Linked DNA regions of Oryctolagus cuniculus. The protein of the gene in region 1 purifies or fractionates together with the protein of each later gene. This does not show direct contact. Links are inferred from orthologs where the notes say so. Each region holds a gene or a part of one and is shown in the gene's direction. Other genes may lie near its edges. The genes, in order: DNMT1, EZH2, PARP1, MTA1, DAXX, HDAC2 and SIRT1.

Evidence for each region.
Region 2: the proteins of DNMT1 (region 1) and EZH2 purify together in Homo sapiens (affinity purification with western blotting; 6 studies listed by BioGRID and IntAct, with this or other methods). This does not show direct contact. The link is inferred for Oryctolagus cuniculus from reciprocal best matches to the Homo sapiens genes DNMT1 and EZH2.
Region 3: the proteins of DNMT1 (region 1) and PARP1 purify together in Homo sapiens (affinity purification with western blotting; 4 studies listed by BioGRID and IntAct, with this or other methods). This does not show direct contact. The link is inferred for Oryctolagus cuniculus from reciprocal best matches to the Homo sapiens genes DNMT1 and PARP1.
Region 4: the proteins of DNMT1 (region 1) and MTA1 purify together in Homo sapiens (affinity purification with western blotting; 4 studies listed by BioGRID and IntAct, with this or other methods). This does not show direct contact. The link is inferred for Oryctolagus cuniculus from reciprocal best matches to the Homo sapiens genes DNMT1 and MTA1.
Region 5: the proteins of DNMT1 (region 1) and DAXX purify together in Homo sapiens (affinity purification with western blotting; 4 studies listed by BioGRID, with this or other methods). This does not show direct contact. The link is inferred for Oryctolagus cuniculus from reciprocal best matches to the Homo sapiens genes DNMT1 and DAXX.
Region 6: the proteins of DNMT1 (region 1) and HDAC2 purify together in Homo sapiens (affinity purification with western blotting; 3 studies listed by BioGRID). This does not show direct contact. The link is inferred for Oryctolagus cuniculus from reciprocal best matches to the Homo sapiens genes DNMT1 and HDAC2.
Region 7: the proteins of DNMT1 (region 1) and SIRT1 purify together in Homo sapiens (affinity purification with western blotting; 3 studies listed by BioGRID and IntAct, with this or other methods). This does not show direct contact. The link is inferred for Oryctolagus cuniculus from reciprocal best matches to the Homo sapiens genes DNMT1 and SIRT1.

What each region holds. Positions count from the first base shown.
Region 1 is NC_091447.1:67,170,686-67,174,185, forward strand, and holds part of DNMT1 (DNA (cytosine-5)-methyltransferase 1), read left to right. Parts: intron 1-2,046; coding exon 2,047-2,165; intron 2,166-2,674; coding exon 2,675-2,767; intron 2,768-2,903; coding exon 2,904-3,055; intron 3,056-3,150; coding exon 3,151-3,338; intron 3,339-3,422; coding exon 3,423-3,500. UniProt on the Homo sapiens protein: Methylates CpG residues. Preferentially methylates hemimethylated DNA. Associates with DNA replication sites in S phase maintaining the methylation pattern in the newly synthesized strand, that is essential for epigenetic inheritance.
Region 2 is NC_091434.1:174,746,348-174,749,847, forward strand, and holds part of EZH2 (histone-lysine N-methyltransferase EZH2), read left to right. Parts: intron 1-1,492; coding exon 1,493-1,595; intron 1,596-2,100; coding exon 2,101-2,279; intron 2,280-3,500. UniProt on the Homo sapiens protein: Polycomb group (PcG) protein. Catalytic subunit of the PRC2/EED-EZH2 complex, which methylates 'Lys-9' (H3K9me) and 'Lys-27' (H3K27me) of histone H3, leading to transcriptional repression of the affected target gene.
Region 3 is NC_091444.1:39,042,332-39,045,831, forward strand, and holds part of PARP1 (poly [ADP-ribose] polymerase 1), read left to right. Parts: intron 1-729; coding exon 730-846; intron 847-1,561; coding exon 1,562-1,738; intron 1,739-3,500. UniProt on the Homo sapiens protein: Poly-ADP-ribosyltransferase that mediates poly-ADP-ribosylation of proteins and plays a key role in DNA repair.
Region 4 is NC_091451.1:47,274,681-47,278,806, forward strand, and holds the start of MTA1 (metastasis-associated protein MTA1), read left to right. Parts: upstream 1-1,326; 5' UTR 1,327-1,456; coding exon 1,457-1,557; intron 1,558-3,514; coding exon 3,515-3,570; intron 3,571-4,126. UniProt on the Homo sapiens protein: Transcriptional coregulator which can act as both a transcriptional corepressor and coactivator. Acts as a component of the histone deacetylase NuRD complex which participates in the remodeling of chromatin.
Region 5 is NC_091436.1:135,802,970-135,807,157, forward strand, and holds the start of DAXX (death domain-associated protein 6), read left to right. Parts: upstream 1-1,388; 5' UTR 1,389-1,527; exon of another isoform or gene 1,528-1,645; intron 1,646-1,752; exon of another isoform or gene 1,753-1,886; intron 1,887-2,018; exon of another isoform or gene 2,019-2,155; intron 2,156-2,736; 5' UTR 2,737-2,788; coding exon 2,789-2,995; intron 2,996-3,149; coding exon 3,150-3,981; intron 3,982-4,081; coding exon 4,082-4,188. UniProt on the Homo sapiens protein: Transcription corepressor known to repress transcriptional potential of several sumoylated transcription factors. Down-regulates basal and activated transcription.
Region 6 is NC_091436.1:57,442,399-57,445,898, forward strand, and holds part of HDAC2 (histone deacetylase 2), read left to right. Parts: intron 1-699; coding exon 700-855; intron 856-2,718; coding exon 2,719-2,776; intron 2,777-3,500. UniProt on the Homo sapiens protein: Histone deacetylase that catalyzes the deacetylation of lysine residues on the N-terminal part of the core histones (H2A, H2B, H3 and H4).
Region 7 is NC_091446.1:59,833,015-59,837,011, forward strand, and holds the start of SIRT1 (NAD-dependent protein deacetylase sirtuin-1), read left to right. Parts: upstream 1-1,197; 5' UTR 1,198-1,273; coding exon 1,274-1,706; intron 1,707-2,621; exon of another isoform or gene 2,622-2,689; intron 2,690-3,111; coding exon 3,112-3,228; intron 3,229-3,997. UniProt on the Homo sapiens protein: NAD-dependent protein deacetylase that links transcriptional regulation directly to intracellular energetics and participates in the coordination of several separated cellular functions such as cell cycle, response to DNA damage, metabolism, apoptosis and autophagy.

The sequences.
Region 1 (3,500 bases):
AGGCTCAGTGGTATAGGGGTCACCGTGGCCAGGGCCCCCCACGGTGGCAGGGGCTCAGGGTGGGCCTGTGCTGACCAGAGGTGTGTGGTAGGAACATTCCAGCGCAGGTGGGATGGGCGGGCCTGGGTCACACGGCCTTAGGCTAAGGCACGCTGACTGGCATTTGAGGGCTGGCCTGTGGCGTCCAAGCTGCACCCTTGCCCCTGCTCGTGGGCTGAGGCCCGGGCTCTCCCATGTCCCCAGGTCTGTTTGCTTCCCAGGCTTCCTCTGCTGCTTAGGGCCGGGAGCAGCCCTGCCTCCTTGTCCTGGGGAAGAGACAGAGCTGGGGTTCCCCCAGGTGTACCTGTTGGCAGCACTCCTGGGTCGCCTTCCTGACACATGCCTCACCCAAGCTGGGGTTCCCATGACCACTGGGATGAGCCCTCTGTGTGCGGCTGCACCCTGCACATCTGGGTGGTTGGTTGTGTCTGTCCTGTCCCACAGCCACCACTGGTGTCCAGGTCTACTCACATGTCCACGGCCATCCCAGTGTGGGGCCATGGACCTCTGACCCCTGGCCCACCCTGTGGTGCAGAGCAGATGGCCGGGCCCGCCAGCCTCCCTGCGGCACCCTCGGGACAGCAGGCTCGGAGCAGGAGTGGGGCCAGGGCCGCACCTGGCGCGGGCGCCTCGGTTCTTCGTGAACCAGGGTGTGCTGTGGGTGCGTTCCCGCAGGGCGGGGTGTCCCAGGCCTTGCAGCGTGAGGCTCAGGAGCCAGACCGCTGGGTTGCCTAGGGTCTCTAGGTACCTCTGCACTTGGCCCTGATGGCTGGTGGCAGCACGTAGGGTGTGGCCTGTGGCGACTCAGAGCTTCTCCCACATCTCTCCTCAGAGAGCCTGACACCTCCTCTCCAGGCCTCCCCCAGCGCAGGCTGTCTGTCCGTCTTTCCCACTGGACCCTACCTCCTGAGGGCCAGCCTGCGACCTGTCTGTGCCCCCCAATACGTACAAGGGGAGCTCGGCGGGAGGCATGCATTTTGAGAAACTTGGTGATCTTTGAGGGTGAACACCATGGGCTTGGGGGCTGCGCTGTGAGTCAGGGGTACCCTCTTGAGACCTGCCCAGGCCCTATGTGGGGACTCGGGTAGCCAGGCACCTCTGGACAAGAATGGCCCTTGAGGCTGGCCTGAGCAGAGCCCCCCTGCCCAGGTCCCTGGTCTGCTCGTGTTTCTGTTCTTGATAAAGAATCTGCTCCCACGTGTTGGCGCATCAGAGCAGGGACACTGTGGGGTCCCCTGACTTGGGAGGCCGTGCCCCCAAGAGGAGGCAGAAACCCCTCCTTGCTGTGCCCCCCCCCCCACCTCTGCAAGTTGTCCTGCAGCCTGCTCTAGGGCGGGTGTCAGTAACATTTTCAGGTGCCACTCAGATCTGAAGTGTCCTGACCGCGCAGATTCATAAGTGAGCAGGTGGGCGGGGGCTGAGTGGTGAGGGGCGACTGTGATGGCTTTGGGGCTTATTTCAGGTGATGCCGTCTGGAGCTGGGGAGAGGCGAGGGCCGCGGGACGGAGCGAGCAGCTGTGGAAGCAGCTGCCTTGTCACTGGTCCCTTTGTCCCCTTCAGACGTACATCTTAAGTTTCTCATTGCACTTAGGACAAAGTTCTTCAATCCATTTGTCTACTCCCCAGCTGTTCACAACAGCCAGGGGCTGGGTCGGGCTAGAGCCAGGAGCCCAGAACTTTATCCACGTTTCCCGCGTGGGTGGCCGGGACCCGAGTACTGGGCCCATCGCCTGCGGCTCCCAGGGAGTGCGTTGGGGAAGCTGGAACCCCAGGCTCTCCAGTGTGGGCGTCCCAAGCACTGCCCCGGACGCCCAGCCGTGAGGTTCACGCGTACTCTGGGCGTGCAGGAGGGAGGCCAGGTAGAGACGGAGTGAGTGGCGGACCCAGAGCTAACCTGGTACCCCGCAGCCTGAAAGGTAGCGGGGTCTTGGACTCGCCCCTGCTCCCCCCCCTGCCCTGCGCCCGCCCACCCCGCTGGCTGCTGAGCGCGCTCTCCGTCCCCTGTAGCGTGTACTGTAAGCACGGCCACCTGTGCCCCATCGACACCGGCCTCATCGAGAAGAACGTGGAGCTCTGCTTCTCGGGTTCAGCGAAGCCGATCTACGAGGACAACCCGTCGCAGGAAGGTGCGGGGGTGTTCCGGGGCGGCTTGGGGCAGATACTTTGACAAGAAGCGACACGAGAAAAGCTGTGCCCTTTAGAAGGCGGGCCGGAGACTGCCATGAGCAGCTGTTTGTACAATCACTTGGAAGAAATGTCAAGGGAGCTGGGCGTACTGCCTCCTGGGTTTGGTTTTGTCCTCTAGTGTGTCTAAGAGGCAGAGACAGATCTCCCAACCGCTAGCACGTTCCCCAGTACCCTCAGCGACCAGGGAGCTGAAGCAGAGTTGAACTCGATGGCAGTCTGCGACATGGGTGGCAGTGGCCCAGTGGCCTGAGCCATCACCTGCCCTGCAGGGTCTGCACTGGCAGGAAGCTGGAGTCAGGAGCCAGAGCTGGGAAGGGGCCAGACACCCTGATGCGTGCGTGGTCACCCTAAGCAGTGTCTCGGCCACTAGGCCCAGCGCCCAAGCGCCCGCTCCCTTGTGGCACCTGATTCATGGCCTTTTGGGAAACTTCCCTGCTCTTGCTTCTAGGCGGTGTCAATGGCAAGAACCTTGGCCCCATCAACGAGTGGTGGATCACGGGCTTCGATGGCGGGGAGAAGGCCCTCATCGGCTTCAGCACCTGTAAGTGTGTGGCCGCCGTGGGCGGGGCTGGGCTCAGTGCTCTCTGCAACCGTGAGCGTCAGTGGACAGAAACACTCGCCACGGTGATGGGAGCCTCGCCCACGTGGAGCAAACCGGCGCCTCCGCCTCCCCGCAGCGTTCGCCGAGTACATCCTCATGGACCCCAGCCCCGACTACGCGCCCATCTTCGGGCTGATGCAGGAGAAGATCTACATCAGCAAGATCGTGGTCGAGTTCCTGCAGAGCAATCCCGACTCCACCTACGAGGACCTCATCAACAAGATCGAGGTGGGGCGCTCGGGCCCCGGACGCGCAGCCTCGCCGCCGCGGCACAGCCTGGCCTAAGCAGTCGGGAAACTCCCGCTGTCTGTCCTTCCTTCCAGACCACCGTTCCCCCTTCCTCGCTGAACCTGAACCGCTTCACGGAGGATTCTCTGCTCCGCCACGCCCAGTTTGTGGTGGGACAGGTGGAGAGCTACGACGACGCCAAGGACAGCGACGAGCAGCCCATCTTCCTGACCCCCTGCATGCGAGACCTGATCAAGCTGGCCGGGGTCACCCTGGGGCAAAGGTGAGACCCGGCAGGACGGTGCCGGAGCCCAGCGGCCTGCGCCGCCTCCTGGTCTGCTGAGACAGGGGCCCCCTGTCCCCACAGGCGGGCGGAGCGGCGGCAGACCATCAGGCATTCCGCCAAGGAGAAGGACAAGGGGCCCACGAAGGCCACCACCACAAA
Region 2 (3,500 bases), on another chromosome or scaffold:
TTTTTTTTTTTTTTTTGGTATCGTTTTAATTTTATTGGAAGATTCTCGAGAAAACCACTGTGGATGAACTGCAGCTCCCATTGGTCCATTTCTTGCTCTGATCTCACAAGGCGCCATTATGTGAGGTGAACCCCCAAAAAGTATATATAGCCGCTGCGGGGGCCTAGATTTTTGTCCGCCTTACCCAGAGAGCACTCTTTTGTGATCTGTCATATGCACCATCTTAATCCTAATAAAGACTCCATAAGGTGGATATTATTAGATCCATAAGATCACACTACTGGGGAGAAATGGAGCCTTGAACTCCATGATGATAACCAAAATATATGTGACTTTAGACTTATGCCTTTCTTCCCGAGTCAGCTGCGACTCTCCAAAAAGTAGTCTGTCCCAAGACAGTCTGTGGTTGGTATTTTCTGCTTGGCATGGATCATATTAAAGCAGCATAGAATTCTTTGGGGAAAAATTGCAAAGATGCATAGATTTTTTTTTTTATAATAAAGGGATACCTTAGTGATGATCTAGTTTAAACTCTTTGTTTTACAGGTGAGGAGACAGACCGAAGTAGTTAAGTAAGCAGTCAGGCCCAGTGACAAAATTAGTTAGTAGCATGATTGGCATTAAAACCTAGGGGCCGGTGCTGTGGCTCAGCAGGTTAATGCCCTGGCCTGAAGTGCTGGCATCCCATATGGGTGCCGGTTCTAGTCCCAGCTGCTCCTTTTCCAATCCAGCTCTCTCTTATGGCCTGGAAAAGCAGTGGAAGATGGCCTAAGTCCTTGGGCCCCTTTACCCACATGGGAGACCCAGAGGAGGCTCCTGGTTCCTGGCTTTGGATCAGCGCAGCTCTGGCCATTGCGGCCAGTGGGGGAATGAACCAGGGAATGGAAGACCTCTCCTCTCTCTGTAACTCTGACTTTCAAATGAATAAATAAATCTTTAAAAACCCTTTTTTTTTTTTTTAAGATTTATTTATTTTGCTTGAAAATCAAAGTTACACAGAGAAAGAGAAGAGGCAGAGAGAGAGAGAGAGAGAGAGATCTTCCATCCGCTGGTTCGCTCCCCAGATGGCCGTAACGGCTGGAGCTGTGCCGATCCGGAGCCAGGAGCTTCTTCCGGGTCTCCCACGTGGGTGCAGGGGCCCAAGGACTAGGGCTGTCTTCTGCTTTCCCAGGCCATAGCAGAGAGCTGGATCGGAAGTGGAGCAGCTGGGACTGTTACCATGCCCATATGGGATGCTGGCACTGCAGGTGGCGACTTTACCTGCTATGCCATAGCACTGGCCCCTTCCAGAACTCTGAAAACTTTTTGTATTTGAATTTTGTGTTTGACATATGCGCATTCCATAAATACACATAAAATATGTTAGTGAAACAAAAAGTTCATGATTTCTTAGAAAATCAGCTATGTTATAGAGATACAGTTATGTATAGAAAATGAAAGATTGAAAACTTGTTGACTTCATGTTTTCCCCCTTTCATATTTCCCTAATCAGATAAAGAAATCCACCCACCTCGGAAATTTCCTTCTGATAAAATTTTTGAAGCCATTTCCTCAATGTTTCCAGATAAGGGCACAGCAGAAGAACTAAAGGAAAAGTAAGATTTGCTTTTCTGAGATAGTCTCACTTTGTGTGCTGTGGAAATTCTCCTTTTCGTTTATTTACAAATGCAACAAATATAGCACTTGCTTGTTTATAGTGTGGGCAAGATGTTTGAAGCAATATATTTATCTGTGGTATTCTACACTATAAAACATTATAGTTGAATAAATACCTTTATATATACACTATATATACATGTAAAATTTATAGCAGTCTATTTAGAGGAAAATTTCTCTGGATACTAGCAGAAAGTTCAGTAACATTGATGATTAATTAAAACTAATATCCTTTTTCATGATATACCTGAATCATTTCATTGAATTTGATTCTTGATATCTAATTGCTTCTTTGTCTATAAAGATTGATTTATGTTAGATATATTCCTTTTTGTTTTAGGCAAGATAAACATTAAAATAATACATGGAAACCTTTTAGAAACTTTATTTTGAAAAAGTGATTTTTCTTTTATATTTACTTAAATTTTTCTTGGTTACTGTCAGATACAAAGAACTCACCGAGCAGCAGCTCCCAGGTGCACTTCCTCCTGAATGTACTCCCAATATAGATGGACCAAATGCTAAATCTGTTCAGAGGGAGCAAAGCTTACATTCATTTCATACGCTTTTCTGTAGGCGATGTTTTAAATATGACTGCTTCCTACATCGTAAGTGCAATTATTGTACGTTTTCATTTTCCATCTCTTGTTGTGGAATTATGTTTTAAAGCAACTCAAATAATGTTATTTAATACAACTAGAATTTTCTACTGAATCTTACAGTTAAGATTAAAAAATGTTATGAACTCAGTATTGTTATTTTTATGTTGTTGCTTGAGGATTGTTTTATACACATTTAATTCAGACTTCTGTTTTAAAGAAATTGGCTAAAAAAATGCTATATTAGTTCTTGTCTACTTAGTGTTGAATTTTTTTTTTTTTTTTTGGTCCTCTGGGTAAGTTGCTTTTCTTTTTTTTTTAAAAAAGATTTATTTATTTCAAAGTCAGAGTTACACAGAGGAGAGGAGAGAGGAGAGGCAGAGAGAGAGGTCTTCCATCCAATGGTTTACTCCCCAACTGGCCGCAATGGCCGGAGCTGCACCGATCTGGAGCCAGGAGCCTCCTCCAGGTCTCCCATGTGGGTGCAGGGGCCCAAGGACTTGGGCCATCTTGTACTGCTTTCCCAGGTCATAGCAGAAAGCTGGATCAGAAGTGGAGTGGCCAGGTCTTAAAACCGGTCCCATATGGGATGCCAACCCTTCAGGCCAGGGCGTTAACCTGCTGTACCACAGCGCCGGCCCAGTAAGTTGCTTTTTAAATACCCGTGTTTTGTATACTAGCAAAGCATAAAATATTCTTAATGAATTATGGTACATCCAATAATACTTTTTTTCCCTGATATTTTTAGGAAATGAAGTTTCTTAGTAATTTTCCAGTTAACTGGACCTTATTTTTAAGTACATTTTTAAAAGCATCAACTACTTTTGAGGTATATATTTTGAGAATATATTTCATACTTCCTAATTTTCAGAGTTTACATAATATAGTTCAACTTTTTCCATATTATGTTTTAGGGTGCCTGTTTATGGCATAGTAATACTTCTAGAAGCTTTTGACCCTGCCCTAAATGGCCTTACATTGCTTTGCCTTTTGGGTTTTGTGTCCCTGCTTTTTCTTTTTTCTTTTTTTTTAAAGAAGATTTATTTATTTGAAAGGCAGAGTTACAGAGAGGCAGATTCAGAGAGAGAGAGAGAGAGAGAGAGAGATGTCTTCCATCCACTGGTTTACTTACCAAATGGCTCCAACGGCCAGAGCTGGGCTCATCTGAAGCCAGGAGTCAGGAGCTTCTTCCGGGTCTCCCACGTGGATGCAGGGGCCCAAGGACTGGGACCACCTTATACTGCT
Region 3 (3,500 bases), on another chromosome or scaffold:
GTCAAATTGGTAGAGGGGCAGACATTTGGTAAAGCAGTTAAGACACCACCTGGGCTACCCACATGCCATATTGGAGTGCCTGGGTTCTAGCCCTGGCTCTGCTCCCAGTTCCAGCTTCCTGCTAATGTGCACCCTGGGAGGCAGCAGGTTAGGCTCACATACTTGGGTTCCTTCCAGCCATGTGAGAGACCCAGATGGAGTCTTATTTTGGTGTGACCCAGTCCCAGCTGGTGGTAGCATTTGGGAAATAAACCAGCTAATGGAGGCTCTCTGTAGATATCCTTTGTGTGTGTCTGTCTATCTGTCTCTGCCTTTCAAATAAGAAAAGATTGACAGAGAACAGGCACACCCTACCTCCTTTGGCCTCTGGCTATTGGTGGTCGACACATGTGGGCCATTTAGCACTTACAGGCCCCTGTGTGTCTTGTGGGCTTGGTTTCTGAGGGATGCATTCCAGGGGCTTTGGTGACTTTGTTACGTCCTTCCCCACACTTGTTAATGGTTTCTTCCCCACCTTGCACAACTCTTTGAGAGCCCATGCTTCATATTCAATTTGAGACCTGCTGGAGCATGGCAAGGACTTAAAATCTACTGCTCAGACCGTCTTTTCGGGAGAGTCAGTTCAGCTAATCCTCTGGTGTGTGCTTGAGGCCAGGCATGTCCAGGGGTATACTCTTCCTTCAGTTGAAAAGAGAGGCCTCTCACTCAGCTGCTGGGTCTTGTCCCTAGGCCCAGAACGACCTGATCTGGAACATCAAGGATGAACTAAAGAAAGTATGTTCGACCAATGACCTGAAAGAGCTGCTCATCTTCAACAAGCAGCAAGTGCCTTCCGGGGAGTCGGCGGTGAGCGGCCTTAGTGTTAGAGCGGGACACGCCTGTGAGGCCGACTGTCCTAATGGAATATGCGAGGCCCTCCGTTTGAACACCTACTGGTATTAGCTGCGAGGAGTAAAACCTCGGTGGTCATGTTGTACAGTCATCACTGCCATTGTGGTCACCATTTCCCCAGGGGCAGTTGGGACAGGCCCTACCAGACATTTCTCATGTTGACACTTGCTGTGGAATTCTGCTGGGGGCTAGAGTGGGCCATGTTTGCCTTGAATGGTCATACCACATACTTTGGCCTGAGTAGCACTCTCAGCTGCCTTCTGCCCAAACTCCCTGGGGCTGCAAGGCTTGTGGAGGGAAAGAGACCCTTCTGCAAGGTGGTATGCCAGGGTCCCAGCATTTCCCCAGCTGCTTCTTCCCTGCCCTCCTCCTCTGGAGTTGAGGTTGCCTTGGTACCTTGTGCAGGACCAGGGCATGCTCTGGGCTCTCCCTGTATTTCCCAATCTGAGGGATGGGGAAGGTGAAGGAACACTTCACTTAGAGATGGGTCTCTGAAAACCCAAGAACCCAAGCCCCCTAGCAAACCAGCTGCCCAGGGGGCAAGTTCAAGAGCCCCAGGCAAGCCTCTGTTGCAGTGAAGGAGGTCTGTGCAAGTTCTCCATGCCACATTGCACAGCGTCTTCTCTGGAGTGCCTCCTTTCCCCTCTGACCATTTCATTGCTGGCTTCAGATCTTGGACCGGGTAGCTGATGGCATGGTGTTCGGTGCCCTCCTTCCCTGCGAGGAGTGCTCGGGCCAGCTGGTCTTCAAGAGCGATGCTTACTACTGTACCGGGGACGTCACTGCCTGGACCAAGTGTATGGTCAAGACACAGACACCCAACCGGAAGGAATGGGTGACCCCAAAGGTAAGGGGTCTGTTGCAGGGAGGGATGGTTCTGGGATCTGTTGGTGGGGCTTGTCACCAAGACTGCAGTGGCAGACTTTGTCACAACTGGGCCATTCTCATGATCAGAACATAAAATTTTATGGGTTCCATATGTTTGCAGACTGTACAAATATGGAAACAAAGCGTCTCTGAAGTGTGGAGTCAAGGTTTGTCCAATTGCTTGTGAGGACCATGAATTACTTGATTTATTGGGGCCCATTGTGCGCTGTTACTGTGAGGGACATATGGTGAACAGATAGTAGTAATTCCTGCTTTTATGACAAGCATTTCCTTGCCTTAGTGCCGGAGGGAGAGTTAGGTCCAGAGTTCATGTATCACTAGGTACTGAGTGCCCTCTATACGAGGGACCACAAGTGGAATTTAGTGGGCGCAGACCCCTCAGTTGGAGAGTTGGTGGCTGGATAAGCTCCTGCCCTGTGCCCTCAGGCCGGCAGGAGCTGGGGCAAGGTCCCGGTTCTCCCTTTGCTCGCTGCACCTGCTGTGTTCCCATGCGGGGAGGACATTTGAGCCAGTCCCCTCGGCACTTGGGTGTCCATGCTAGAGCAGGTCTGAGCTTGTCACCTCCCTTCCTTCAGCATCTTACAGACCCATTGTGTGGTGTTTACTATCTCTCAAGGAGCAAATCAGATGACAGTTAGCAGCGTGGACTGTTTATAGTCCATGTGCCCACAGTAGCGCATCTGAGAGTGTGTGCGGGTGCATGACACCTCTGCAGTCTGGTGGCACTTGCTGCCTGTGTGGATTCACGGGCCCAGACCCAGGCGGTGATTGTTGCCCCCAGCTTGTGTCCCTGTGGTGACAGAACCAGGATCTCTCCATGATCTGACTCTGGGCCTTCTGCAGCCTCTCCTGCCGCCGCCTTTTCCTCCCTTATCGCTCTCCCCGCCGTACTCCTTGGCTCTTTACACTCCCAGCCATGGACAGCTCCCTAGGGTTCCCCGTAGGCCATCTAGGTTCCTGTAGTAAGCAGACACTTGCCTGCTTTTCCAGCTCCTAATAGACTCAGCAGGTCACTGGCCTGTGAGTGCCCTCCCAGCATTCCCACTTTCCTGTCACCTTAGCTCACCTCCAGTTTAGAACTTGGCTCCAAGTTTAGAACTTGGCTTACCATCGTATATCTGACGTGGTCGAGACTGAGCCTCCTCAAGGGCAGAAACCGTCTTCTGAACCTGCCTGTGATGTGTGGCAGTATTAGGTGGTCAGTGTATGTTGGAGGCTCTTTGTTAGCCTTTAATCCAACTGGCATTCATTGACTGTGGCATCGTCGGAAAGGCCTGTGTATTGATTGGATGAAGTCTTAGCATAGGAACTGTGGTCTTTCCCAGAGCTTTGTGCATTTGACTTTTATTGAGTGACCATCTAGAATAAGTCCCTTTGTAAATCTCCTGGGACAGAGAGTGAACTGTGCCATTTGCTGTTGAGGGATTTTGTTGTAAGTTCAGTAAAAAAAGGAAAAGAGTTACTCTGACTTAGAGGTAATGATGTGTGTGGTCCTGGGGCCCTTCTGGTCGTAGATTGGGCACCTGAGGCCCCAGGAAGGCCTGTTCATTCTTGAGAATGATTCAAGGATGGGGTGGGGGCAGCAGTTAAGTCACTGCTTGAGACCCTTCATCCCATGTCAGTGCCTGGGTTTGAGTTTCCTGCCTGCCTGTGCACACTCTAGGAAACAGTAGGTAAGGCCTCAAGTGGCTGGGTCCATACATCTGGTGGAAGCCCAACAC
Region 4 (4,126 bases), on another chromosome or scaffold:
GCTCCCCCCACCCAGGCAGCTCTTCGGCCAGCCGTGAAGGAAGCACCCCGGGTCCCACCCAGCAACTCAACTCCAGGCCCGCTGGCCGCCTCTCCAGGACTCCCACCCCAACGGCCCTGACTACACCAGCCCCGGGGCCCCAGCCTCCCTCCAAGCGTCAGCTCCCCATCGCGCCCCCCAGGCCGGACCTCGTCTCCCTCCCACCGCAGCCCGGGCCGTGCGACCCTCAGGCCTTCCCCGAGCGCGGGGCACGCAGTCACGTTGCGCCGGGCGTTGCGGGAAGCCCCGGTGCGGCGCCCGCTTGGCCCCGCAGAGCGCAGGGAGCGGCCTGCACCCCGGGCGAGACCCGGCCGCCGAGTCCGGGGCTGCCCGCGGGGGCTGCCCGCTGAGCGTCGGGGACACAGAAGGCTCAGCACTGGCGCCAAAGGCTGGGCCCCGCGGGGCGGCCGCCTCCAGGCCAGACCTGAACCCCCGAGCTTCGGGGCAGGCCGGCAGTCGTCCCCGGGGGTGCTGGGGGTGTAGACCCCGCCGGGGCAGGCGCGGCGGGAGGCTCCGGCCGGGGCGCGGGGGCGAGCTCCGCCGGGCAGGCGCGCGGCCGCGGCGGCGCGGGGTCGGGTAACGGCCCGCGCGGTGGGCGGCGGCGCCCGAGGCCCCTCCCCGTGCGGCCGCTCCTCCCCTTCCTCTCCCGCCCGCGCCGCGGCCCTCCCGTCCCTGCGCGGCCTCGGCGGCCTCGGCGGCGGCGGCGGCGGCGGCGGCGGCAGCGGCAGCAGCGCGGCCCCTTTAAACCGCCCGCCCCGGCCCGCGCCGCCCCCGCCCCAGCCTCCATTTTCCGGCCGCCCGCGCCGCGCGCCGCGCCCGCCCGCGGCCCCGCCGCCGCCGCCGGCCCGGACATGGCCGCCAACATGTACAGGGTCGGAGGTAAGGCCCGGCGCCGCCTTTATGCGCCGCGGCGCGGCCCCGCCGCCCCCCGGGCCCGGCCCGCGCCCCCGCCCCGGCCCCGCGGCGCGCCGCCCCTCCCCCACCCGCCCCCGCGGCGCGGCCTCGGCCGCCCCCGCCCCGCCGCACCCCTCCGCGCGGCCCCCGCCCCGGCCGCCCCGACCCAAAATGGCCCCGGGCCGGCCCGGCCGGGCCGGTGGGCGGGGGTGGGCGAGCTGCCCGGGCGGCGGGGGCTGGCCCACCTGTTGGGCCGGGGGCGGCTGCGGGGTGCGGGCCGGGAGCCGTGCGCGGCCCTCGCCGGCGCGGGGGCCTCCTCCGGGGCCCGGCCTGGCGGGAGCCCCCGAGCGGAGCACGTGGCCGGGCTGGCGCGCGCCGCCGCGGGAGTTCGGGGGCGTTGGGCTGTGGGGGCGCCGGGGCGCCAGCGCCGCGGAGCCGGGTTTCTCCGGGGCTTGGGGGCGGCCTCCCCGCGAGCCGCTCCTGCAGCTGGGCCTGGGGCCGTCCCGTGGGGGCCGCGCTGGGGATGGGGGCTCGTCAGCGGGGACCCTCATCCCCAGTAGCCTCCAAGTCACCCCAAACTTTTCGCTGCCTCCTGCTCACCCCAGCCCAGCGAGGCAGCGCCGGGTGAGGCCTGGGCGGGGGGCGGCCGGTTCTCCTTGGGCCCGGGCCTCGCCCCAGTTTGCGTGTGCGTGTGCGGGCGCGGGCGGCTGCGTGGGGTCCCGCGTTGTGCCTCAGGTAGGCCCTTCCCAGCCCGGGGTGGCGCCCCCCCGTCGTGAGCCGCCCTTCCCACCGCGGAGTGACCCCGCAGGGCAGGCATAGCTGTGGAAGTACCCCCCGATCCTGTCTGCACCCCCCCTTCTCCACCGAGGCCTGAGCCGGACATGGAGTCTGGGTTGAGCGTGGTCCAGCCAGGCCAGCCCTGCAGCCTGGGCCCGGTGTGCCCGGGGCCCTCTGGTGTTCGGGGTGGGCAGTGACCAGCTCACACCTTTGCCCGCGGGGCCCTGGGTGGACACAGGCAGTCCACACTCCCTGCCAAGATGCTGGGGGACAGGGGCCCTTCGTCCACCTCCCTGGCCCACGCTGCTGCCCCAGGGAGCTCCTGGCTGGTGACTCCCAGCCCCAGTGGAGGGACGAGTGAGGGAGCAGAATGGCACCTCCCAGCTTTGGTGGCCATGCCATGCGGGGGGTGGGGGGGTGGGCTCTGGAGGGAAGGACCCCTGCCCAGGCCCCCAGCCCAGCAGGCGGGACACCTCCTGCCTGGGATGTGCCTGGGGAGCTTCTCCCTCTGCCCCCCCAGTCCAGGCTGGACCCTGTCGTGGTGGCCCCTGCACAGCGTGCCTCAGTTTCCCTGTGCCCTGCAGCAGCTCCCCAGGGCCCACCTGGGTGCCTTGAGGGCGGGGTGGCTTGGATCTGGAGCCCACGGTGCCGGGTGGAGCCAGCTTCTACTTCCTGTCTGTGGCTGGGGTTGCAGAGCCTGAGGCAGAATTGGGGTCGTGGCCCCAGGAACCCCAGAGGTGGGCCCCATGCCATCTACACGGAGCCGCACATGCCGTGTGCCCATGGTGGACGGCTGTTGGCATCTCGGCTCAGCATTGCCTGAGCCCCCAGGTGGGGGACAGGAAGGCGCTGCCCCTCTGACAGCGGGCCTCTCGTCCTGCCGTGGCCTGGGGGAGTGGCCAGTGAGGGACCGGCCCTGGGCGGGGCCTGTTCCTGTGGTCTTGTCCTGGCCCAGCCTCCTGGGAAAGGCCAGGCCCATGGGCCTTTCAGAGCGCAGAACTGGGGTCTCAGTGCGTGGGACATACGTGCGCTAGAAAGTTCTAGCTGACATCACATTGCCCGGAGTCCTGTGTCTTAGCTGGGGGGCTGCAGGTGCCACGGCCAGGTTTTGTGCCAGCTGCCTAGGCAGAGAGGCCTGGCCTTGGACAGGGGCCCTGGCCGGGGTCAGGGTTCCTGGACCTCTGGGCAGTCTTCTGCCAGTGTGATTGGCGTGTGTCCCGGCCGCTGTACCCACCGCTCCTGCAGTTTGGGGTTCTGTTCTCTGTTCCCCCACCCTGGGCAGCTTTCGCTCGGTCCTGATGTCCTGTGCTTGCAGAAGGGGACAGGGCCCGGAGCTGCAGGGGCGTGAGGCCGCGTTGGGCCCTGCTTTTGCACCCTGCCTCCTGCTGGTGCGTGGACTTCTTTTGTTGTAGCCCTGGTGTTTATTTTTCCATGGACGCTCTTTGGTCAAGTAAGGCGTTCCCCAGGATGGAGACCCCGCCTGGGACAGAGACCGTCCCCTGTGTGGCTGTGGTCGCCCCGCCCCCTGCACAGGGGCGGCCTCTGGAAGCTGCTGGCCCTCCTCCCTGGCAGCGAGACGCGGAGTCTGCCGTCCACAGTGGGGACCTGGGACGTGGGCCGAGGGGCACGGGCGGACCTGGGGGTCTGTCCGGGGGGACAGCTGCCAGCCTCCGTCTGGGCGCCCCTACCCCCAGCAGCAGGGGGCCTCTGTGCCTGCTTTGGGGCTGTCTTATTGTTTTAAGAGAAACATTTGGCCGCTGAGCTCTTGGGTTAATAACAAAAGCAATTGGAGCGAATGGTCTAGGAAGCAGTCTCTGGCCGTGGCCGTGGCCGCTGGACGTCATACTCCGAGCCCAGCAGGTGAGGAAGGACTGTTCTGGGGACCCTGGCACCCAGTGTGCCTTCTCTGGAGGGTGTTCCTCCTCGTGTCCCGCTGCCCCTCGCCTTGTCTTCCTAGTGGCAATAAGGCAGAGCTGGACAGGGGCGTGGGGGTCACAGCCCATCCCCCAGGCCCGAAGGCCCAGCTCTGCACCTCCTGGTGCCAGGCTGTGCCACAGCTGCTGCGGGGATGAGCTGGCCGGGGAAGGACATGGTGCTGCCCCCCCTGAAAGCTGCTTAGCAGCCTGTGAGTGCGGGTCGCGGCCCCTGACCCACTCTGCTTTCTGTCCCTGACTGGGCTCTGCAGAGGGCCTGCATCTGGCTGACCCCTGGCCGGGGCCACATGCTCTCTTGCAGAGATGAGATTCCTGGAGCCGGCGTTGTGCTGAGGGTCTCGGTTCTGCTGCCGTCCGCCCTGTGTTGACCACAGCACAGCGTGGGTGAACGAGGGGCTGTGGACAGCCAGGGAGCACGGCCCGCAGGCGTCCCCCCAAGAGGGGAATGTGGCTCAGGTGTCCTGAGCTCTTGCTGGGGCTGG
Region 5 (4,188 bases), on another chromosome or scaffold:
CGGCGCCGTGGCTCACTTGGTTAATCCTCCACCTGCGGCGCCGGCATCCCATATGGGCGCCGGGTTCTAGTCCCGGTTGCTCCTCTTCCAGTACAGCTCTCTGCTGTGGCCCGGGAAGGCAGTGGAGGATGGCCCAAGTGCCTGGGCCCTGCACCCGCATGGGAGACCAGGAGGAAGCACCTGGCTCCTGGCTTCGGATCGGCACAGCGCCAGCCGTAGTGGCCATTTGGGGGGTGAACCAACGTAAGGAAGACCTTTCTCTCTGTCTCTAACTCTACCTGTCAAATAAAAAACATTTTTTTAAATAAAAAAGTCTTTCTTGCGATTTTGACTCTTTGTTAAAAATATTTATCGTTACAATTATGAAAAACGAATTTATCAAGCAGCACAAAGATTGTGCAAATTTTTGCATTACGAATTTTTAATAAGCTAGAAGATTGTGTTCATGGTGCATCGCTGAAATAGACCACGTGTCTTTTGACTTCAGCCAGGTAAGAGACCCAGGCAACTTCACGGCTGTGAATTATTATAAGATGGAGAAAGTCCATTGTGAAGGGGAAGGAAGAGGGAGAACCTCTACCGCAGGCGCTCGCTCTGGGAGCCCAATTTTGGGAAAGCTGAGGATCTGAAACTTAAATCCTCTTTGTCAAGACCCAGTGGTCTTGGCGAGTTTTGTTGCTCAATTTGAAGGCTGTAGGCCTGGACGACTGGCGAGAAGTGACAGGGATTCTCAAAGGAAGCGTCAGGGATGCAAGGCCGCGGGCCTGAGGCAGGAGGCCACCACCCGCGCGTGGGCTTCGCGCTGTCCCCGCAAGCGCGCCTCGGGACGCGGCCCGGCCTCCCCCACGCGAGGCGTCTCCTCCGGCTCCTTCCTCACTCTGTCCTCGGCTCTCCCTGAGGAGCAGGAGACCACCGCGTCTCCCCGCACGCGCGGGGGCCATCGCCCAGCTGCTCCCCCCAGCCCCCGGACCCCACGACAGAGCCTCGAGGGGCCGATGCCGCCGCAGCGTCCAGGCCCCACTCGGAGAACAGCGCAGCGCCGCTCGGGTCCCGCCGGCTTGGACGCTGATTAGTTCTGAGGCGGAGCTCGGAAAGCCAGTCAACAACAACGTAGCGATAGTAATACCACCACCACCACCTTCAGGGAGCGCGGTGCTCGTTTGTACGCATGCGTCGACATTTCCCGGCCGGGGACGTAGCACCTGGAAGTGGAAGCGGCGGCCGGGCAGCGGCGAGGGGCGCAAAGCCCATTAAGCGGTGGAAACCGGTACCTGGGAGATAGGAAAGCAGGACCGGAAGCCTCACTAATTGCCCAGCGGAAGGAAAAGGTTTTATTTCCCCGTTTAGACACGCCTGCCCTTTCCTGAAGCCATGCACAGCCTTGGCGACCCCAGTTCTTCAGCCAGCCTATTCCACTGCCCCCCTCCCACCCCTGGGAAAGGTGGCTCAGTGGTCTCGGCACGCGACTAGCTGGCGGTTGGGCTCGAGGCAGGAAGTTTCTGATTGGCGGAGTCCCAGAAGCACCAGGTGAAAATAGCTCCGCCGGCTGAGGGCCCAAGTCACTGCAGAGCTGGGGCCGTACAACAAAATGGCGGCCCCCAGCAACTTCGGGACGCCCTGAAGGGGCAGGCCCCGCCCCCTACAGGTCAGGGGGAAGGGAGTCGCGGGCTAGGTGGGCGGTACTAGGCACGCTCGGTGGGGCCTTCCGGAAGCAGGAAGGCTGGGCTCCGTACGACAATATGGCCGCGCTTATACGCGTGTAGGCGGAAACTCCGCGGCTTCCGGTCTGTAGTGGGGCCTGCGGTGGGAGGGGGAAGGAAGGCGGAGGGAACCATGCGAGGTTCTGAGATCAGCGGCGAGGGTCGTCTCGTGAGACCGTTTCTGAGGTGCGGGCCGGACTGTGTGGGGAGCGAAAACGGGGGAGGGGATATCGAGGAGGCGGTACTGGGGAGACGCGGGCTCTGAGTCTGAGAGGCATGCTCTGGTACCTTATTCCTGAAGGGAAGTGGGGCGGCTAGGGGTCTGACCTGGGGGAGGGGGACTTGGCGGGAAGCTCATCTACCCTGCCGGCGCGACTCAAGGGTGGGATCCGAGAAGAATCGGGAGAGCCCACTGTAGGTCTCACGATCGGTTACAAGTCACAGAGAGCGACCAGGTAAAATCAGGGTGGGGTGAGAGGGAGGGCTCTTGAGGTGTCATACTCCAACCCAGTGCCCTGGTTTGAAGAAGCCCATCAGAGGGTGAAATACGGAGTTAATAGCAGGAGGGGAAAGGAGAATGGATCGTTGAGAGGACTGTTGGATTGTCTAGGAGTTGGGGTGATCATTAAGGGTGGGGTATGGGTTTGACATGTTTCGGGGTGAAAGGGGCCAGACGTGAGGCAGCCAGAGCGAGTGTGTTTTCCGTGTGTGAGGGTGTCATGGGAATCTGGGAAGCGGGACTGGGGTTGGAAGAACCAACTTGACAACTATGAGAAATAGTGGGGAGATGGAACAGAAAGACCGGAAGCCAATGTGAGAGGTAGAGCTGGGTGTGGCGATTGAATGTTTGCGGTTCCCTGTCCTGGGCCACTTGAAGGGCCCGGGAAGGCATCCAGAGCTAATGGTTGCAGAAGACAGGCAGTGAGGACACTGTTGGGCAGGGCTGGGTGTTGCTGAAACCCACGGAGATTGGAAACTGAGCTGAAGGGAGGGGCTATGCTGGAGGGGCTCTTTCTGAGGCCCCATCCCCTTCCAGCAGGAATTCTGAAACCCCCAACACTTCCTCCCTCCGGGGGATTTGATCCCTCATGGCCACCGCTAACAGCATCATTGTGCTGGATGATGATGACGAAGATGAAGCAGTCGCTCAGCCAGGGCCCTCCCACCCACCCCCCACTCCGGCCTCACCCCAGGCAGAAGCCCCTGGCTCCTCTGAGCCCCATGGGGCCGGAGGAAGCAGTAGTTCTGGCGGCAAGAAATGCTACAAGTTGGAGAATGAGAAGCTGTTTGAAGAGGTGAGCTTTAGGGGAGAAGATTCTTATACCCCAGGGAGGGGGATGGCGCACTGGCTCTCTGGTCCTCTCTCCCCCACTAACTGCACCCCCCCTTCTCTCTCTCAACCCCCTCCCTTGTCTCTTGTCCGCTCTCTTCTTCCCCCGAACCCTCCAGTTCCTTGAACTGTGTAAGACGCAGACAGCGGACCACCCTGAGGTGGTCCCGTTCCTCTCCAGTCGGCAGCAGCGTGCCCACTCTGTGTTTTTGGCCTCAGCCGAGTTCTGCAACATCCTCTCTCGGGTCCTGTCCCGGGCCCGGAGCCGGCCCGCCAAGCTCTACGTCTACATCAACGAGCTCTGCACCGTTCTCAAGGCCCACTCAGCCAAGAAGAAGCTGAACTTCGCTCCTGCTGCCACCGCCTCCAGTGAGCCCTCTGGGAGTAATACTTCTGCAGACCCGGCCTCGGAGCCCGGCAATGCTGAGGCCGCTGTCTCCGAGGCCCCAAGGACCCGTGGCTCCCGCCGGCAGATCCAGCGCCTAGAGCAGCTGCTGGCACTGTACGTGGCGGAGATCCGGAGGCTGCAGGAGAAGGAGCTGGATCTGTCAGAACTGGATGACCCAGACTCCACGTACCTGCAGGAGTCGCGCTTGAAGCGGAAGCTGATCCGCCTCTTTGGGCGACTGTGCGAGCTGAAAGACTGCTCTTCGCTGACCGGCCGGGTCATAGAGCAGCGCATCCCCTACCGCGGCACCCGCTACCCAGAGGTCAACAGGCGCATCGAGCGGCTCATCAACAAGCCAGGCCCCGACACCTTCCCCGACTACGGTGATGTGCTGCGGGCCGTAGAGAAGGCAGCTGTCCGGCACAGCCTCGGCCTCCCGCGCCAGCAGCTCCAGCTCATGGCCCAGGACGCCTTCCGAGATGTGGGCGTCAGGCTACAGGAGCGACGCCATCTCGACCTCATCTACAACTTCGGCTGCCACCTCACGGATGACTACAGGCCAGGTAGCGGGTTAGCGGGGTGCCCGTCGGAGGCAGAGGGGACCGCTCGCCCTCTCTGCCAGGGTGTGGGCTGAGTGCTCTGCTGTCATATCTTCCCATGTAGGCATTGACCCTGCACTGTCAGATCCTGCCTTGGCCCGGCGCCTTCGGGAAAACCGGACCTTGGCCTTGAGCCGCCTAGACGAGGTCATCTCCAAATACGCAATGATG
Region 6 (3,500 bases), on another chromosome or scaffold:
ATGGGATGCTGGTGCTTCAGTCCAGGGCGTTAACCCTCTGCGCCACAGTGCCGGCCCCTGCTTTTTCCATTTTTAATCTTATGCATATTTGTCTTTGTGGTGCTTCATAGTCTAATTTGCATGTACAATTTCAGTTTAAATAACTATACATGTAAGATATAAAATTTCCAAAAACTATCCACTTATGTATATTCAGGAATAAATTGGGAAAACATGCCATTTGCTCAAATTAGAATGTGTAAAATAGTAAGCACTTGCTGTTTGATTTTATAGTCTTTGATTACACTTAATATGATTATAGATTTATATCATAATGGTACAGAGATTGTATTTCACATTAATGGTACTATTTTTTATTTTGTCTCCTTTTCCTCAGAACCCTGAAGTAAAAGGCCACCTTTTAGGTATAAAGATGTTATTCCCACTTGCTCTAAGAGAAGCATACTTTTTTCCTCCAAACTTTTACCTTTTAGAAAATCAAAAGATCCCCAAATGTCTCTTTAACTGTTTTATAAACCACAGCTAAGTTTTCGGTATTAGAGCAAACCATTCATTTTGTTCCAATCTTAAAATTATTAAGCATCTGTTATCCTATACTTTGAAATGTGGTAACTGATGAGTACATTTGCATGAGTGTGCTGTAATGATTTTAAAGCTTGTGACTTTTCCTCAAAGCTTGTTAAAATCTTACGTTAACAGTTCGAGCATCAGACAAGCGGATAGCTTGTGATGAAGAATTCTCAGATTCTGAAGATGAAGGAGAAGGAGGTCGTAGGAATGTATCTGATCATAAAAAAGGAGCAAAGAAAGCAAGAATTGAAGAAGACAAGAAAGAAACAGAGGACAAAAAAGCAGGTCAGATTTAATTTTTTGGTGAATGTGTTCTGATTTAAAAATTTTTTTAATTGAGAACTACATTGAAATATAAAAATTTCCTGAAGTCATCTACTGTAAGTATTACAGAGAGGTGAGTATGCTAGGTAAATGCTATTTTTTCCTCCATATAAAGTTTGGCTTTTAAATATCTTTGATTGAAATCTTTGCAAGTTCCTACTTACATTTGATTTTATAATATAGGAAACCTTATTCTCTTGATGATAAAGGCTTAAATAGTTAGAGTTAAGAGAGAGGGTAAGTTATAAATCTGTAGTCTACGAGAGAGCTGAAATTCTAAGATAATTTTTAACTACCTAAAGTTTATGTAGATGAAATCAACCTTTACTTAATACTAGTTTTATCATTTTTAATAAGGCCAGATAATAGACTTTGTTCAGAAATTGAGGAAAACACAAAGCTCTCAGAAAAGATTAAAAATATACTGCTTTCTATTACCTTTCTATCTTTGAAGATTGTCAGCTCTAGGCAATTGAATTTGCCACCAGAATCTGTGATCGTTTGTCTGTATTTATATGTCTCCATGCCAGCTGGCTAGGGAATACAGCATCTTAAATACCTGTTTTCAGCACTTGGTATGTTTCTTTATGCAAGTAACAGTGATGAGCAAAAATCTTAGTTGACCTGTTTTGATATGAAAGCAGAGATAGTAGTAGTCCAGTAAACTGGCTCTTTCTCTTCTCTAGTGTTAGGAATCCATATCAAAGCTGATACTTCTAATTCTGTTCTTTGGTCATCAGGCTTCGTGATTCTTAAAATTTCTCAGCCTATAGAAAAAAGAAAACTTTTAGGAAAAAACTATGGGTCGAGGCCATAGAGCCATTTCTTTTTCATGTTTCCCTCTCCCATCCTGTTTTGGCACTTTGAGTTCACATAGCCAAAATTAAACAACAAATGCCATAAAATCCATATTGTCAACATGGGTGTTCATATTATAGGACTAGACTCTTGCAATGTGTAGAATACTTAAGAATATTTAAAAACTTTAAAAAAAATTGCTTTTGCAGTCTTCAGATTGTAGTGTTAACTTCTGTTGAAAAGTTTTAAACTTTTCAGTATTTATTTAGTGAGGGTTAGAAAATAAAGGTATGAGGCAGACACTGTCGCAGTGGGTTAAGCTGCTGCTGGGGATGCCTGCATCCTGTGTCTGAGTGCCAGATTTGACTTCTGACTGCTGTTGCTTATTCTAGCTTCCTGCCGAGTTGCATAGGATGACAGCAGATGACTGTCAGGTGATGATCCCTGCCACCCACATGAGAGAGTTCCTGATACCTGTCTATGGCCTGGCCCATCCCTAGCTGTTGTGGGAATTTGGGGAGCAAACTAGCAACAGGTGGAAGATATCTCTGCCTCTCTCTATGCCTTTCAAATACATAAATAAGTAAATCTTAAAAAAAGAAGAAAACAAAACTAAAGGTGGCAGCAGCCTCTGGTTGTGTCATCTACTCTCCATTTCTCATAGTGCTCTAGCCGCAGTAGGGTTTCTCCTTCCATCCTGCCAATTTCTTCTTAGCTCAGAGTCCTTAAAACTTTGGAGTTTTTTTCTTCGTCTATTCAAGATGTTTCTCTTCCCTTTTTATCTACCAAAACTACATTCATCAGGACAGCTTCAGATGTCACATCTGTGGTAGCCGTTCCTCACCTGCCACAGTGCTGCATTTTCCTTTGAAGTCCCTATCCTCGCTGTGATAAGGCTCAAAAAGGGCAGTGACTGTTAGGTTAAAGCTTAAACATCTACCATTTAGTATAATACCTGAAATAAAACTTATATACTGAATTATATTTCAAAATAGATTTTGATCTTTTCCTAATCTTTGTTTCTAGATGTTAAGGAAGAAGATAAATCCAAGGATAGCAGTGGTGAAAAAACAGATACCAAAGGGTAAATGATATTCCTTATCAATTAATTGTTATATATTAAAAAATATATTTCCTTGGGGTGTGTTTCTTTATTGGTATCTGTACTGAGAAGTACTTAACTAAATCTGAGAACATTGTCTGAGATATTCTAAATTTCAGTCTGTCTTAATGCATGAGACTTGTGCCATCTTACTCATTGGTTTTTGTCATTGGTTTACTACTCATCTGTTAAGTAGCTTGCTTTTAAAAACTACATAGAATTACTGCATATTGTAATTAGATAATAAATCAGTTTGAAACTCTTTCTTTAAATGTGCGCTCATGGTTTTCATGGTGTTTTGTTTTGTTTTGTTTTGTTTTGTTTTTGACAGGCAGAGTGGACAGTGAGAAAGAGAGACAGAGAGAAAGGTCTTCCTTTGCCGTTGGTTCACCCTCCAATGGCCACTGTGGCCAGCGCGCTGCAGCCAGCGTGCTGTGGCCGGCTCACCGCACTGATCTGAAGCCAGGAGCCAGGTGCTTCTCCTGGTTTCCCATGGGGTGCAGGGCCCAAGCACTTGGGCCATCCTCCACTGCACTCCCTGGCCACAGCAGAGAGCTGGCCTAGAAGAGGGGCAACTGGGACAGAATCTGGTGCCCTGACTGCCCAGGACTAGAACCCTGTGTGCCGGCGCCTCAAGGCGGAGGATTAGCCTAGTGAGCCGCGGCGCCGGCCTCATGGTGCGCTTATTTCTGTATTTTAGTGTTAT
Region 7 (3,997 bases), on another chromosome or scaffold:
AAATGAGTTTCCAGCCTTCTTGGTTCTTTTTGAAGCTAAAGCAACAGAGCTTGAGTTGCTTGCCTAAGGTCATGCAGGTATCGGTGCAATATATCCAGGACCCATAGTCAGTTTAAGGAATGGTGTGCTATGAACGCTGAGAAGTTCTTTAAGTGACTAGAAATGCTGCAGGCAGATGCCACGCAAAGCATAGGTCCTTAGTTATGGCTGTAAAGTAACAATTTTCCAGGGCAAGTGGAAAGTGGTGGAGTTTCCAGTGGGGAAGCAACTCTGGTTTTTGAACTACTATGTACCTTTTAAATATAGCTAGCTTATTTAATTTTCATAACCCTGCAAAATAGGTATTATGAGAAAAAATTGGATTTAGAAAAGGCTAACTTGCTCGGTATACAAGAATCCCAAATTTAAAGCAAACCCAGAGATGGGGAGTGGCCGAGCCTTGTTCTCGACTGCCCGACTTGACCCAATGCAATCACTACACCTGAGAACACCGGGGCCCACAGGTAGGAACGCACACACATTTGAGTACAAGTTACGGACCGAAAGCTGATAGGCTGACTCCCAAGTTCCCAGGTCAAAGGACCTAGGACGGGGACACACGCCTGTGAGGATCTGACAATCTCGCCCCACAAGTGAGGGCGACAGGGCACAAGAGCCAATCACTGAAGGGGAGGGCCAAGCAAAGGAGCTGAAGAAGGGCTGTCAGAATGGCGCGGGGGCGGCAGAGCGCCTTGTTCTTTCCTCCCCACTGACAAAAGCCCAACGGCTACCCAGCGTTATTTCAAGGAGCGAAGCTTCAGTCCTCATCGCCTCTCAGGAGCCCAACTTTAACCCTTAGCTAAAAATGCAGACAGGGCTAGGCAGGGAAGGTGTGCGCTGGAGGCAGAAGTGGAAACTCCGTGAACCAAAACGTGTGCCTTCCGGACGGTCCTGAGTTCAGGACGCTTCCAAACAGAAGTTCAAAAGCGGCCGCCGAGCGAGCGTGCAAGACACGCCCGCCACTGAGGGGAGGGGCCTCAGGCCGCCCGAGCCGCGTTTCCTCCCCGCCCGAGCAGAGAGGGAGACGCCCGGGCCTCCGCCCGCCACGTGACCGGCCGTGTTGTGGTTCGGCCCGCGTGGGTGGCGGGAGCGGCGGGAGGGCGGGGGCGGGGGCGGAGGCAGGTCACGTGACGGGGTTTAAATCTCCCGCAGCCGGAGCCGCGGGGGCGCCAGTGCCGCGCGTCGAGCGGGAGCAGAGGAGGCGAGGAAGGAGGGCCAGAGAGGCAGTTGGAAGATGGCGGACGAGGCGGCGCTCGCCCTTCAGCCTGGCGGCTCCCCGTCGGCTGCGGCGGCCGAGAGGGAGGCCGCTTCGCCGCCTGCTGGAGAGCCGCTCCGCAAGAGGCCGCGGAGAGACGGCCCTGGCCTCGGGTGGAGCCCGGGCGAGTCCGGCGGGCCGGCCCCCGAGCGTGAGGTGCCGGCGGCGGCGGCGGCGGCGGCCGGGAGCTGCCCGGCTGTGGCGGCGGCGCTGTGGCGGGAGGCGGAGGCGGCGACGGCGACGGGCGGGGAGCGAGAGGCCCAGGCTATGGTAGCGGCCGGAGGAGACAATGGGCCTGGCCTGCAGGGCCTACCCCGGGAGCCGCCGCCGGCCGACGATTTCTGCGAAGACGAAGACGACGACGACGAGGGCGAAGAGGAGGAAGAGGCGGCGGCGGGGATTGGGTACAGAGGTGCGCAGGGCGCGGGCGGCCGGGACTGCGCATCCCCCTCCTCCTCCTCTCGGGGCCCCTCCTAGTGTCCGGTTGGGGGGGGGGTCTCTAGGGCGGGCCGGGGGTTCCGGGCTGGCTCGCGGGATCCTCTCCCCATGGCGGCCCTCCGTTCAGCCGCGCTGCTCCCGGGCTGCCGGCCGTGCGGTGGGGAGCTGCGCGCGGACTTGCTCCTTGTCTTCCCTCGGTCCGCGGCCCCTCTCGGCGGCCTTGCGGCGTTCGACGCAGCCGCCGGGTGTGGACGCTGTCTCCCTTGGCTTTACAAATAAGTTTTCTCTCTTCTAGTATTGCTTTCGTTGAACTTACTTTGCTCTCCTCCTCCTTCACCAGCACACTTAAAGTCTGCAACTTTCGGCCGTCCCGTTGGTCGACCTTTCGCAGTTGCCCGTGCAAACTGACACCTGTGCCATTTATTTATTTATTTGACGATCTGTACTTTTAAACTTGTAGTTATAAATTTGGAAAGAGCAAAGCGGCTTTCTGAGGTCTTAACCTGAAAACTTTAAAAGCATAGTTTCTAAAGCAGTCTTTTGTGATGCGTTTAGTGGGGATCGCATAATGAAGTACTTTCAGAGTGCTTTATATTAATATTGTGGTTGAGTCGTGTTCTGAAGTGGTTTTAAGCTAAATGGGATTCTTCTGTATATATGTGATCCTGAAGCAGGTTGACATGTTTTTGACATACTGAAGTACATGTCTTGTCCTTGAGGGTTTCATAGTTTGACTTGAGAAGTTTCTGTGTCTGTCAGTACTGTGTCGGAACTAGCCAGTGGAGCATTTAGTAGCCACATGGAAAAAAAAAAATGTGTAGTGTATACATCAGGGACTGCACAGGTGAAGCAGCTCCTGATTTCAAGAAACAAAATTCCTTCCTCCTTCAGGTAAATTTGGCAAATATTAAATTTCTTTGTGATTCAGTCTGCTGAACTAAGGAACCATCATAGTATTTAGAAGCACAATAAATGGGAGAAACAGATAATGCAGAAATAGCTAAGTATGTTTAGTAGTATATAAAAGCCCAGAGTGCAGGCAGCCTTGGTTTTCACAACGTTGGTGGGTAAATTTTGACAACTTGCATGTACTCCTTTGCTTGTATGATTGCTAAGCTCAGTCTATAGAGACTACCTCTTATTCTGTTTTGACTTTTTAAAAAGTAGACTCAGATTTTTGATAGACTGAAGCTTTGAATTCTGCAAAGGATCTCTTGAGGATCAGAGAACTGCTCTTGTGAATGTTGACCACCTTTACACATGCGGGATGTATGTTAAATGCTTTAGTCATTAAAAATGGTTGCTTTGTGACCACTGATGAGTCTTCTTGCATTTCAGATGCAGGCTGTCAGCAGCCTTAATGTTGATTTCTTTTGCAGATAATCTCTTGTTCGGTGATGAAATTATCACTAATGGCTTTCACTCATGTGAAAGCGATGACGACGACAGAGCCTCACATGCAAGCTCTAGTGACTGGACTCCAAGGCCACGGATAGGTATGGTTCAGAGCTGTGCCCCTCCCCCCATTTTCCCTCTGTCCCTTTAATAGATTGAAGTTTTTAGGTACATGGAGAGATTTAATAACAACTTATATTTCTAAGAAAAATCTAGTGCTCTTAAGTACAAAAATTGTACGTATTTATGGGGTACCATTTGATGTTTTGACACATTATAGATTGTGTAACATCTAAATTAGAGTAAACATCCCTGTCTCATACATCATCTTGTTATTGTGAAATCATTCAAAATCTTTTTTGCTATTTTTTTTAAAGAAAAATAAAGGGGTAAGCATAGAGGTTAATATGCTAGTTGGGTCTCCTGGATCCTATATCTGAGTGCCTACTTTGAAGTCCTGCTTTGCTACTGATTCCAGCTTCTTGGTAATGGACAGTGTTGGAGTTGGTGGATAGTGGTTCCAGTGGCTGGGTTCCTACTACCCCTGTAAAAGACTTGGATTGAGTTCTTGACTCCTGGCTTCTGCGTGGCCCAGCCCAGCTATTGTGGCTGTTTGGGGACTGAAACGGCAGAGGGGAGCTGTCACTCACATCCGCTTTCTTGCTCTCTTGTGCTCTCACTCCACCTTTTTAAATAAAGAACATAATTTTTTAAAAATTAAATAAAACACACAATGCATTTTCTTTTTTTTTTTTTTTTTAAGACTTATTTACTTACTTGAAAGTCGGAGTTACACAGAGACGGAGAGAGGTCTTCCATCCGCTGGTTTACTCCCCAGATAGCTGCAACAACTGGAGCTGTGCCGATCCG